Linked DNA regions of Oryctolagus cuniculus. The protein of the gene in region 3 purifies or fractionates together with the protein of the main gene of each other region. This does not show direct contact. Links are inferred from orthologs where the notes say so. Each region holds a gene or a part of one and is shown on either strand. Other genes may lie near its edges. The genes, in order: TSSC4, ZNHIT2 and ECD.

What was found.
Region 1: the proteins of ECD (region 3) and TSSC4 purify together in Homo sapiens (affinity purification with mass spectrometry; 3 studies listed by BioGRID and IntAct, counting the BioPlex papers as one, with this or other methods). This does not show direct contact. The link is inferred for Oryctolagus cuniculus from reciprocal best matches to the Homo sapiens genes ECD and TSSC4.
Region 2: the proteins of ECD (region 3) and ZNHIT2 purify together in Homo sapiens (affinity purification with mass spectrometry; 3 studies listed by BioGRID and IntAct, counting the BioPlex papers as one, with this or other methods). This does not show direct contact. The link is inferred for Oryctolagus cuniculus from reciprocal best matches to the Homo sapiens genes ECD and ZNHIT2.

The regions. Positions count from the first base shown.
Region 1 is NC_091432.1:1,158,951-1,162,696, forward strand, and holds TSSC4 (U5 small nuclear ribonucleoprotein TSSC4), read right to left. Parts: upstream 2,609-3,746; 5' UTR 2,523-2,608; coding exon 2,477-2,522; exon of another isoform or gene 1,636-2,476; coding exon 1,556-1,635; exon of another isoform or gene 1,465-1,555; coding exon 634-1,464; 3' UTR 567-633; downstream 1-566. UniProt on the Homo sapiens protein: Protein associated with the U5 snRNP, during its maturation and its post-splicing recycling and which is required for spliceosomal tri-snRNP complex assembly in the nucleus.
Region 2 is NC_091432.1:6,443,165-6,445,863, reverse strand, and holds ZNHIT2 (zinc finger HIT domain-containing protein 2), read right to left. Parts: upstream 1,808-2,699; 5' UTR 1,774-1,807; coding exon 637-1,773; 3' UTR 596-636; downstream 1-595. Other genes in the region: delta(14)-sterol reductase TM7SF2, read left to right, coding at 67-189, 283-443. UniProt on the Homo sapiens protein: May act as a bridging factor mediating the interaction between the R2TP/Prefoldin-like (R2TP/PFDL) complex and U5 small nuclear ribonucleoprotein (U5 snRNP).
Region 3 is NC_091446.1:64,309,992-64,313,637, reverse strand, and holds part of ECD (protein ecdysoneless homolog), read left to right. Parts: intron 1-2,420; coding exon 2,421-2,508; intron 2,509-2,621; coding exon 2,622-2,800; intron 2,801-3,646. UniProt on the Homo sapiens protein: Regulator of p53/TP53 stability and function. Inhibits MDM2-mediated degradation of p53/TP53 possibly by cooperating in part with TXNIP. May be involved transcriptional regulation. In vitro has intrinsic transactivation activity enhanced by EP300.

The DNA.
Region 1 (3,746 bases), on a different chromosome or scaffold from region 3:
AGGCCGAGCCCTCAAGGGTCAAGGGAGTGGGGGACAGACATGCTCGCTCCGTGGGCCTCCCCCAGCAGACCTGGGGAACCCACCCTTTGTCCCCCATGGCCCATGCTGGGCTGGAGTCCTGGCACAAGACCCCAGATGCCGGCTCTGCACCCCGTCCTGACAGTCTGGGTGGGGCACAGCCAGAGGCGAGCGTGGGCACGGCTACAGGACCACTCAGGCCTGTCCGGCACCATGCTGGACTCCTGTGGCCTGACCCCAGCCCAGGGGGACCCCTCAGCCCCTCCAGGCCGGCACTGTGCGCAGCAGGTAAAGCCGCCTCCTGTATGTGTGGTTCCAGTCCCGGCTGCTCCACTCTGACCCAACTCCCTGCCGCTGCAGCTGGGAGAGCAGCAGACGGCCCCTGTGCCACTGCGGCTCTCTGGGGAGTGGACCAGTGCACGCAAGACCTCTCTATCTTTCAAAATTAAAAGCAAACAAAAACCCAGAGAAGCGGAACACTGGGGCCGTCACTCTGCAGGGTCCGAGCGGGGCTGGGGGCCCAGGGGGAGTGAGACGACAGACAGGACCCGAGGACACCCAACACCTTTATTGTCACCCATGGAGCCCCGGGCCCCCGGCCGCGGCCCGGCCCGCTCACCCCTCAGCCGCTGGGCCCTCGCAGCCGCTGCCCCTGTTCCGGAAGTGCTCCCGGCTCCGCTTCCTGGCGCCGTGGAAGCCGACGGCGTCCAGGCCGGGGGGCCCTGGCGAGGCCCCTCTGTGGGCAGCCGCGGGGGACGCGTCTTCCTCCTGCAGGCCGCCGGGGGTGCCGCCCCTCTCCTCGGCCTCTGGGCTCCCGGGCCCGGCCAGGTGGGGCAGCTCCACCGCCTCGGTCCCCGGGAGGCCCCTGCCCGGCTGCGCGCCCTGCCCCAGGCCCCTCTTCCTCTCGGGCCTGGGCTCGCGGGCTCGGGCCGGTCTGGTGAAGACCACCCTGCCCTCCCCGCAGCTGGAGGAGTCCTGGTTGAAGGCGGGCGCGCAGGCGGCGGGGGCGGCCGGGCCCCGCGCGCCCAGGAAGGCCAGCGCCGCCGCCCGGTTGCTCTGCTCGCTGGCCTCGGCCACGTCCTCGAGGCTGTACCTGGTCCAGCGCTCCGGGTGCGCCACGTAGTCGGGGACACGCGGGCCCCTGGGGGCGCCGGCCGCCCCCTCCAGGCCGTCAAAGACGCTGTGGCTGCGCCGGGAGAAGGCGGAGCTCGTGCCCCGGAGGCAGAACGGCTGGGCCGCAGGGGCGGGGGGCGCCGGGGGCGGCGAGGGGGGCTCGGAGTCCTCTGAGTCCGCGGGCAGGTCTACACACGGCGCGGCCGCCTCGGCACCGCCAGAGCTGAGGTCCGAGTCCGAGTCCGAGCCCGAGTCGCTGGGGAAGTCGGCGTCGTCGGGGGGCGCGGCGTCCCCCTCGGCCCCCGCCTGGGCCATGGCCCCGTCCCACGGCACCTGCGGGGAAGCAGCCCGCGGGGAGGGGGCAGCTCAGGGTCGCCGGCCCACGCGGCCGCAGCAGCGGGCCCCTCCCCGGCCCGGCTCTCACCTCCCCCGTCCGCCCACGGAGGTCCTCGGTGGCCCCGGCGTGGGCTCCTCGGTGGCCTCGGCTCCGCTGCTCAGACGGGGCTGGGTGAGGGGCGGGGGACAGAGCCCGCGTCAGAGCGCGGGGCCGGCCGCAAGCTGCCTGGGACGAGGCGGAGCCCAGGGCTGGGCCCCAGGGCCCGGGCCGCGGCCACCCCGGCGGGGTCGGGCTCGCGAGCGCGCTCAAGGGTCAGCTCGAGCGGCCTTGCTGGGCAGAGGCCGCCCCCGCGGCCCCGGACACGACCCCCACCCGCGCTCCCGAGGGGCTGGCTGCAGGACAGCCCGGGCGCACCCTCCACACGGCGCTCCCCGCCTCGGGCCGACCCAGGCGCGGCGCAGCACCTCCTCCCGCGGAGCAGCCGCAGGAGGAGCGCTGGGCCCAGCAGGGACCGCGGCGAGCGCGCCCTGGGCTGGGGAGGCCGGGATCCCGCGACCGGGCCGAGGGGCAGCGGCTCTAGCTGCCTCCGGCCGCCTCTGCCGCGGAGCAGAGCACACCTTCGCCGTGTCAGGGCGGCCGCGCAGAGGGCCCTCCCGGACTTACCGGCTCCTCGTGCCGGCCGCCTTCATTCGGGTTCCCCGCCGGCCGCGCTCAGCCTTTTGGGAAACCGAGTCCCCCGCTAGCCGCGCACTGTGGCCTCCGCGACCGAAGAACTACATCTCCCATAAGCCACCGGGCCTCAGCTCCCGAGCCCTGACGGGACGTGTGCCCCAGTGCGCATGCGCCCACGCCCTTCTCCTTACACCTCCAAGCCCTGCGCCAGGAGCGGGTTCCGGAAACGGAAAAGGCCTAGCGTTGACACGGAGGAAGGGGCGGAGCCAACCGCCACTCCCAGAATGCTCGACTAACGGCGAGGCGCAGGCCTCTCGGAGTTTTAGTGCCACCTACCGGGAGGTGCGGAGACAGCAGCCGACGTAGACAGGAAGTGCGTCATCGCGCACGGTGGAGCAGAAGCCCTTGCCCGCACTTCCGGCCTTCCGAAAGCGGAAGTCGCTGCCCCTTCCCGGGTCCATCCGTCAATGCCCGGGGCGGGCCTGGCAGCCACTGAGCTTGTGGGCTGCGCTGGACGTCGGGAGCCTCTGACGATGTTTCTCCGGTTCCCCGGCCCTCAGGGACAGGCGCGCGGAGCGCTGCCCAGCGGCCCAGGCAGCCGGGGCTGGGCGTGGCCATCCTGGGCAGGTCCGGCCCCGGGCTCTCCCAGACAGGCCTCTCGCTGGCCACCAGGCCCCAAGTGGGCAGCGCCTTTTGCCCCCGTTTCTGCTGGGGCTGCTCGGTGCCCGCCAGACCCCAGCTCCTGAGTCCCTCTCCTGCGGGGGCCTGCTGTCCTGGCACTCACGGGGAGACCGGCGTCTAAGGACCCCGGGGGGGCCAGCCGCGGACAGCAGGCGGGTCATGCACGGCCCAGGCACCTCTGGGACACCCACCCTGTCCTGGCAGCCCCGGGGCCCCAGGCCCTGCACGTCCAGAGGCCAGCCTGGGCCAGCACGGCCCGGGGGGAGTGGAGGGGACTCCTCGCTGCACCTAGTTCTCCCAGGCAACCCTGTCCCCCAGGGGCTGGGAGCAGCAGGAGCCCCCGCCCTCCGCAGGGCCAGCCTCAGTCCTCCCTGGCTGCTGTCCAGGCCGAGGCGGGGCCTTTGCTCTGGCTGCTCCGAGATGCTGCTGAGGCCCGGGGGGCCACCCACGTCTCAGCAGACCTGGGGCCTGCTGCCCGCAGGGAGCCCGGAGCCCGGCCGCCCCCTCCCGCAGCCCGGTGTGCCCCAGGGGCGGTCACCCGCGGAACGCTCCCTGGGTCCTGGTCCCGTCCGCTCCGCGCGGGCTCGGCACAGTCCAGACCCCTCTGTCCCCAGCGCCCCACCCACTGAGACCCCACCGGCCAGGACCGGCGGCCAGCGCGTTAGCATGCCCGATGTCTCCTCCTTTATTACAGACTGTGTCCAGCTGCGGGCGTTACAGTTGAAGGTGACGTTAGAAAGGACAGGTGCTCCCGGAACAGGCAGGAAAGCAACAGGATTAAGAAGGCCCGGCCCCCCTCGGCAGGTGCCCCTGGCACGCGGCGTCAGCCACAGGGGCTCCGGGGGAGACGCAGAGCCCGGAGAGCCGGCAGCTGCGTGCGGAGCGAGCGGGGTGGCTCTGTACAGGCGGCGGGGGCGGCGGGGGC
Region 2 (2,699 bases), on a different chromosome or scaffold from region 3:
GTCTCCGGGGGCCGTGGCTGTGGCAGCCGTCACCGAGTGACCCGCCCCCTGCCCGTCTCTCCTCAGACCTGGAGACCATCCCCACGGCCACGGGGCGGAGGCTGCTGGTGTCTGGGTGGTGGGGGATGGTCCGCCACCCCAACTACCTCGGGGACCTCCTCATGGCCCTGGCCTGGTCCCTGCCCTGCGGTGAGTGCCCCGGCGGAGGGGCGGCCCCCGCTGGCCCTGGGCCTCCCCCGCCCGGCCGGACAGCGTGGAGACCCTTGCGGCCCCTCCCCGCAGGGCTGTCGCACCTGCTGCCCTACTTCTACATCATCTACTTCACGGCGCTGCTGGTGCACCGGGAGGCCCGCGACGAGCGGCAGTGCCTGCAGAAGTACGGCCGCGCGTGGCTGGAGTACTGCCGGCGCGTGCCGCACCGCATCGTGCCCTACGTCTACTGAGCGCCCGCGCCCCGGCGGAGACCCCTCCTCCCCTGCATAAACGGCTCCAAGTCGCCGCCCGCTTCCGTTCCATTCTGGGGCAGGGCAAGGCTGGGACACGCCGTGGGCCCGAGAGCCCGGGGCTGGGCGGGACAACTGAGCTGTCACTCCGGGCAGGGCCAATCTCCGCTTTATTGAGGCCAAGCCCCCCAGGTCAGCCAGGGAGCTCTTCAATGAGAGCCCCTGGGGCAGGTGGGGCGGGGGGCACAGGGCCGCCCCACAGCCGCTCCAGCTCCCCGGCCAGGGCGGCCACCTCCTCCGCGGCCGCCGCGTGCGCGCCGTGCGCCCTGGCGCAGTCCACAGCCAGGGGCCCGAGGGCCGCCTCGTTCTCGTTGGCCCAGGCCAGCAGGTACTGGCACTTTTTCCGGGCGCGGTAGAGGCGATCTCGGTCTTCGCCAGCCGCGGTCTGTTTCCGGGCACGGCCGAGGGTCCGAGCCAGGTGCCCCAGCGCGGCCAGCGTGTAGCCTTTGGGGTCGGCGGGGCCCCGGCCCAGCAGGATGCGGCCGGCCTCTCGCATGGCGCCCCGCGTCCCCAGGGGCCCGGGCGGGTGCTCGCCGGCTTCCAGGACGTGGGCTGCGGCCTGCAGGGCCTCCTCGCTAGAGGCGAAGACTCGCTGGGCGCCCAGCGCTCCGGAAACGCCGAGCAGCGTGGCGCAGAAGTCGGGGAGCAGCGCGTCGTCGCCGCCGCCGTGGTACAGGGCCAGGGCGTGCGCGTAGGCGAACAGCACGTTGGGCAGCTGGAAGCGCACGAGCGGCGAGGCCGGGCTGCGGCTCAGGCTGGCCAGCGCGGGGATGCGGGCGGGCACGGCGGGCGGGCGGGCGGGCTCCGGCTCCAGATCCGGCTCGGGCTCCGCGGCGTCCCCCACCGCCTCCACGAGCCGGGGTCCGTCCCCGCGCCCCCACCACCACGGCCGCCAGGGAGGCAGCAGCCGCCCGGCCTCGCCGCGGCTCAGCAGCCGCTCGAAGGCCGCTTTCTCGGCAGGTGCCAGCCGCTCCCAGAGTCCCGAAAGTCCGCCGGGTGCGGGGCCCGGGCTGAGGCCTGCTACCTCGGGCTCGTCCTCGGTCTCGCGTTGCTCACGCAGCCGGCGCAGGGCGCTGGCCAGGCGGCTGGGCGAGGCGCTGCGGCCGCGAAGCTCCCCCAGCACCTGGTCGCGGTAGAAGTCCTCGGCGCAGGGCCCGTGCGCCCGATAGCAGCGCAGCGAGCAGTAGGGCGCATTGCAGCGCGGGCAGGTGTAGCGCGCGGCCCGCGTCTCCCCAACCGGGCAGAAGCCGCACGGCCCGGCCGGCTCCATGGCAACTGGCAGCGCATGCGCGCCGCGGACGTCACGCGCGCCGCGGGCCAACTTCCGGCGCCTCCTCGGTTACTTCCGCTTCGTCGCGGAGCCTTCCGAGCGTTAGTCCATGCCAGGCTGACAAGGGCTCTCGGCAACTTCCGCCCACACTCGGAAGCCCCGCCCCCTTTGCAGCGCTAGGGCGCCACGAGTGTCCCGTCTGTGCCAGCCCGCCCCCTGGTGGTCGCACCGCAAAACTGAGCAGTGCCGGCTGAAATCATTTTTTATTTTTTTTTATTTTTTTTATTTTTTTATTTTATTTTTTTTTTTATTTTTTGACAGGCAGAGTGGACAGTGAGAGAGAGAGAGAGAGAGAGAGAAAGGTCTTCCTTTTGCCGTTGGATCACCCTCCAATGGCCGCCGCTGCAGCTGGCGCACCGCGCTGATCCGATGGCAGGAGCCAGGATCCAGGTGCTTTTCCTGGTCTCCCATGGGGTGCAGGGCCCAAGCACCTGGGCTATCCTCCACTGCACTCCCTGGCCATAGCAGAGAGCTGGCCTGGAAGAGGGGCAACCGGGACAGAATCCGGCGCCCCAACCGGGGCTAGAACCCGGTGTGCCGGCGCCGCAAGGTGGAGGATTAGCCTATTGAGCCACGGCGCCGGCTTGAAATCATTTTTTTAAAAGATTTATTTATTTGAAAGAGTTACAAAGAGAGAGGAGAGGCAGAGAGAGAGGTCTTCCAGCCGCTGGTTCACTCCCTAATGGGCCACATCAGCCGGAGCTGCGCCGATCCAAAGCCAGGAGTCAGGAGCTTCTTCCAGGTCTCCCACGGGTACAGGGGCCCAAGCATTTGGGCCATCTTCGGCTGCTTTCTCAGGCCATAGCAGAGAGCTGGATCGGAAGTGGAGCAGCCGGGACTCGAACCAGCGCCCACGGGGGATGCCA
Region 3 (3,646 bases):
AAATAAATAAATAAATCTTTAAGCAAAAAAAACCATAGGTATTTTCAAGAATACAATACATTGTTATTAACTGTATTAATCCTGTTGTACAGTAAAGCACTCATTTAAACACTGGTACCATGCCTAAAATAATTAGCAATAATATCTTTTTGAAAATTATTTATTTATTTGAAAGAAAAATAGAGATCTGCTGACTCACTCTCCAAATACCTACAACAGCCAGAGCTGGATCAGGCCAAAGCCAGGAGCCAGGAACTCAATCCAAGTTTCCCACCTGAATAACAGGGACTTGACTACTTCAACCATCACCTGCTGCCTCCCAGAAAGTACAATAGCAGGAAGCTGGAATCACGAGTAGAATCATACTGAAACCCAGTTGTTCCAGTATGAGATGTGGTTGTCCTAAGCCATGTCTTAATGCCTGTACTTAGCACCTAACCCCAGCAATAATATCTAAGTAATGATATTTAAAGGGGCAAATGAGATTTTTAAATAAGCAATAACTAAAACAGTTTATATTTTTACAGCAATAATGGTAGGGGGGATACCTCTTATATGCAGATGTTTGTTTATAAAATGATGGTTCATATTTTAACAAGTCCATAGAGCTCTTTAAATTCTAAGCATTGACTGTTTTCTCAGTTTTTTAGAAAAAAATAAAAAAGACAGGATACTTCCTCTATGTCCCTGCCAGATTAATAGTTCTCAGTTACAGTTCTAATCATTTTACTACCCTGCTCTAAAACCTTTAACTTTTTTCTCTTTGCTTTGTTGGTGTAAAAAATAAAATAAAATAAAAAAAAAACTTTTTTTTGCCTAAAAGCCATGCACATTCTCATTAGTTTTGCCAAGGATTTTTAAAGCTGTTCACACGGTGATATCACTGTGCTTTTTTTGTCTTGTTCTTCACTAAAGTTTTTGTTCTCCCAGTATCTACCTTAAGTGACTAATAAAGCCCTCCAGGGTTTTGCTTACGCTGTTGCCTCTAGCCTCCAAGAACAGTTCTCCTTTCTCTTTATCTCTCTACACATTAATAGTGGAAAAAAAAGACAGGGCAGGCTTCAGTCTTTGGCTTAGTGGTTAAGACACCAGTTGGGAAACGTTTGTCTTATATCAGAGTGCCTGGGTTTAAGTCCTGATTATGCTTCTGATTTCAGCATCCTGCTCCTGCAGATCCAGGCAGGCAGCAGTGATAGTTCAAGTAGTTGGATTCCTGCCACTTAAGTGGGACACCTGGATTAAGTAACCAGCTTCTGGCTTCAACCTGCCCCAGCCCTGCTGTTAGGAGTATTTGGGAAGTGAACCAGTGAATGAGAACTCTGTCTTTGTGACTCAAATAAAAAAGAAAAGTTTTAAGTGTAAAATGACAGGATGGTATGTAAAATATACTATCTTTTGTGTAAAAAGAAGGGAGAATAAGAATATACTGGGCGTGGGCATTTGAGGAGCAAACCAGCTGGTGAGAGGACTGTCTGTGTCTTTGTTTCTCTCACTGTCTCTGTGTTTCAAATAAACGAAAACTTATTTAATTAAGAAAAAAGAGTATGCATTTCTGCTAGTTAGATTAAACATAAGCAAACTGTAGAAGCATGTAAAAGAACCAGCAGTGAGGGGGATAGGAATTTAGCCACTAGGTTCAGAAGTAACATGAAGACTTTTTCATTCTTTAACTTTTTACATATTTTAAAATATTTTTGATCATGTGCATGTATTACCTGTACAAAAGAAGTGATAACATATGGAGCAAAAGAATTTATCTTTCAAGGCCCAAATAACACCTCTTACATACGGATTTTCCTAATCTTTCCTGTTTTTTTTTCTTCTTTTGAAATCCTATAAAATTATTTTGTGTGTTTTCACATTTTCATCTGGTATTGTTTATGATTATTTATCAACTTTTTTCTCATTTTACCATCTTTCTCTAATCTCTCCTTATAATCTTTTTAAAAATGTGTTTATTTATTTATTTGTTTAAGAGGCAGAGACAGAAAAAGCTCCCATCTGCTGGTTCATTCCTGTATGGTCCCAATAGCTAGTACTGGGCCAAGCCAAAGCCAGTGCTAGAAACTCAATTCCGGTCTCCCATGTGGGTTGCAGGACCCTAATTACTTGAGCTATCACCATTGCCTCCCCAGGTCTGCATTAGAAGGAAGTTGTAGTCAGATGCTGGAGCCAGGCACTGAAATGTGAGACATGGACATCTTTTCCTCTAGACTGTCCATCCTTTCCTTAATATCTTATAGTTTCTTTCAGTGCTTAATGATGGTGTTCCAAATATTGTACTTTCTTAGAGCAGTCAGCACATAGTGCATTCTCAAATATTTACAAAGAAGAAGGAGAAATATATTAGCATGAAACTGTTCTGTTTGCTAACAAATGTGTTGTTTTTGAATGCCGAATTGCAACTTCTTTTGCATTAGGATTGAAGACAATGATGGTGAATTCTTGTTAATAGAAGCTGCTGACTTTCTCCCTAAATGGTTAGATCCTGATAATAGTGCCAACAGGGTAAGTTTATCTGTTTAGAAAAATTACAAGCATAAAAATATTTTGCATTATTTTCATATGTACCTAGAATTTGCCATTGCCCACTATGAAAATTAAAATGTACCATTTTCCAGGTGTTTTTCCACCATGGGGAGTTGTGCATTATTCCTGCACCAAGGAAACCTGGAGCAGAATCCTGGTTACCCACTTCACCCCCAACAATCCCACAGGCATTGGATATAATCTCAACACATCTGGAAAAAGTTGTGGCTTCAGAATCTATACGAGCTGCTGTAAACAGGCGCATCAGAGGGTAAGAAAGACACCACTTCCGTTGCTCGTTAAGGAGCCTTTTGTTTTAGTGCAGCTCAAGTTTTTCACCTAGATTAATGGAATTAATGCTAATTCCTATATTGTCTGCATCCCTCTTTATGAAATTGACTAACAAACTTACAGACTGTTTTTTCTGAAGATTTATTCATTTATTTGAAAGGCAGAGTTAGAGAGAGAGGAAGAGAAATGGAGAGAAGATCTGTCCACTGATTCACTTCCCAAATGGCTGCAACAGCCAGAGCAGAGCCAATCTGAAGTCAGGAGCCAGGAGATTCTTCCGGATGCAGGGACTCAACTGCTTGGGCCATCCTGTGCTGCTTTCTTAGGCACATTAGCAGGGAGCCGGATCGGAAGTGGAGCAGCTGGTCTTGAACTGGCACCCATATGGGATGCCAGCGCCGCAAGCTGCAGCTTTATCTACTATGCCACAGTACTGACTGCAAACTTGCAGATTTTGAAGCTTAAACAAGTAGAAGTCAGGGCCGACACTGTGACATAGCCGGTAAAGCCACCGCCTACAGTGCTGGCATCACGTATGGGGGCACCATTTTGAGTCCTGGCTGCTCCACTTCTGATCCAGCTCTCTGCTATGGCCTGGGAAAACAGTAGAAAGTGGCCCAATCCTTGAGTCCCTGCTCCCATGTGGGAGACCTGGAAGAAGCTCCTGGCTCCTGGCTTTGGATCGGCATGGCTCCAGCTGTTGTGGCCAACTGGGAAGTGAACCAGTGAATGGAAGACCTCTCTCTCTCTCTCTCTCTCTCTCTCTCTCTCTGCCTCTCCTTCTCTCTCCGTGTAACTCTGACTTTTAAATAAATAATCTTTTAAA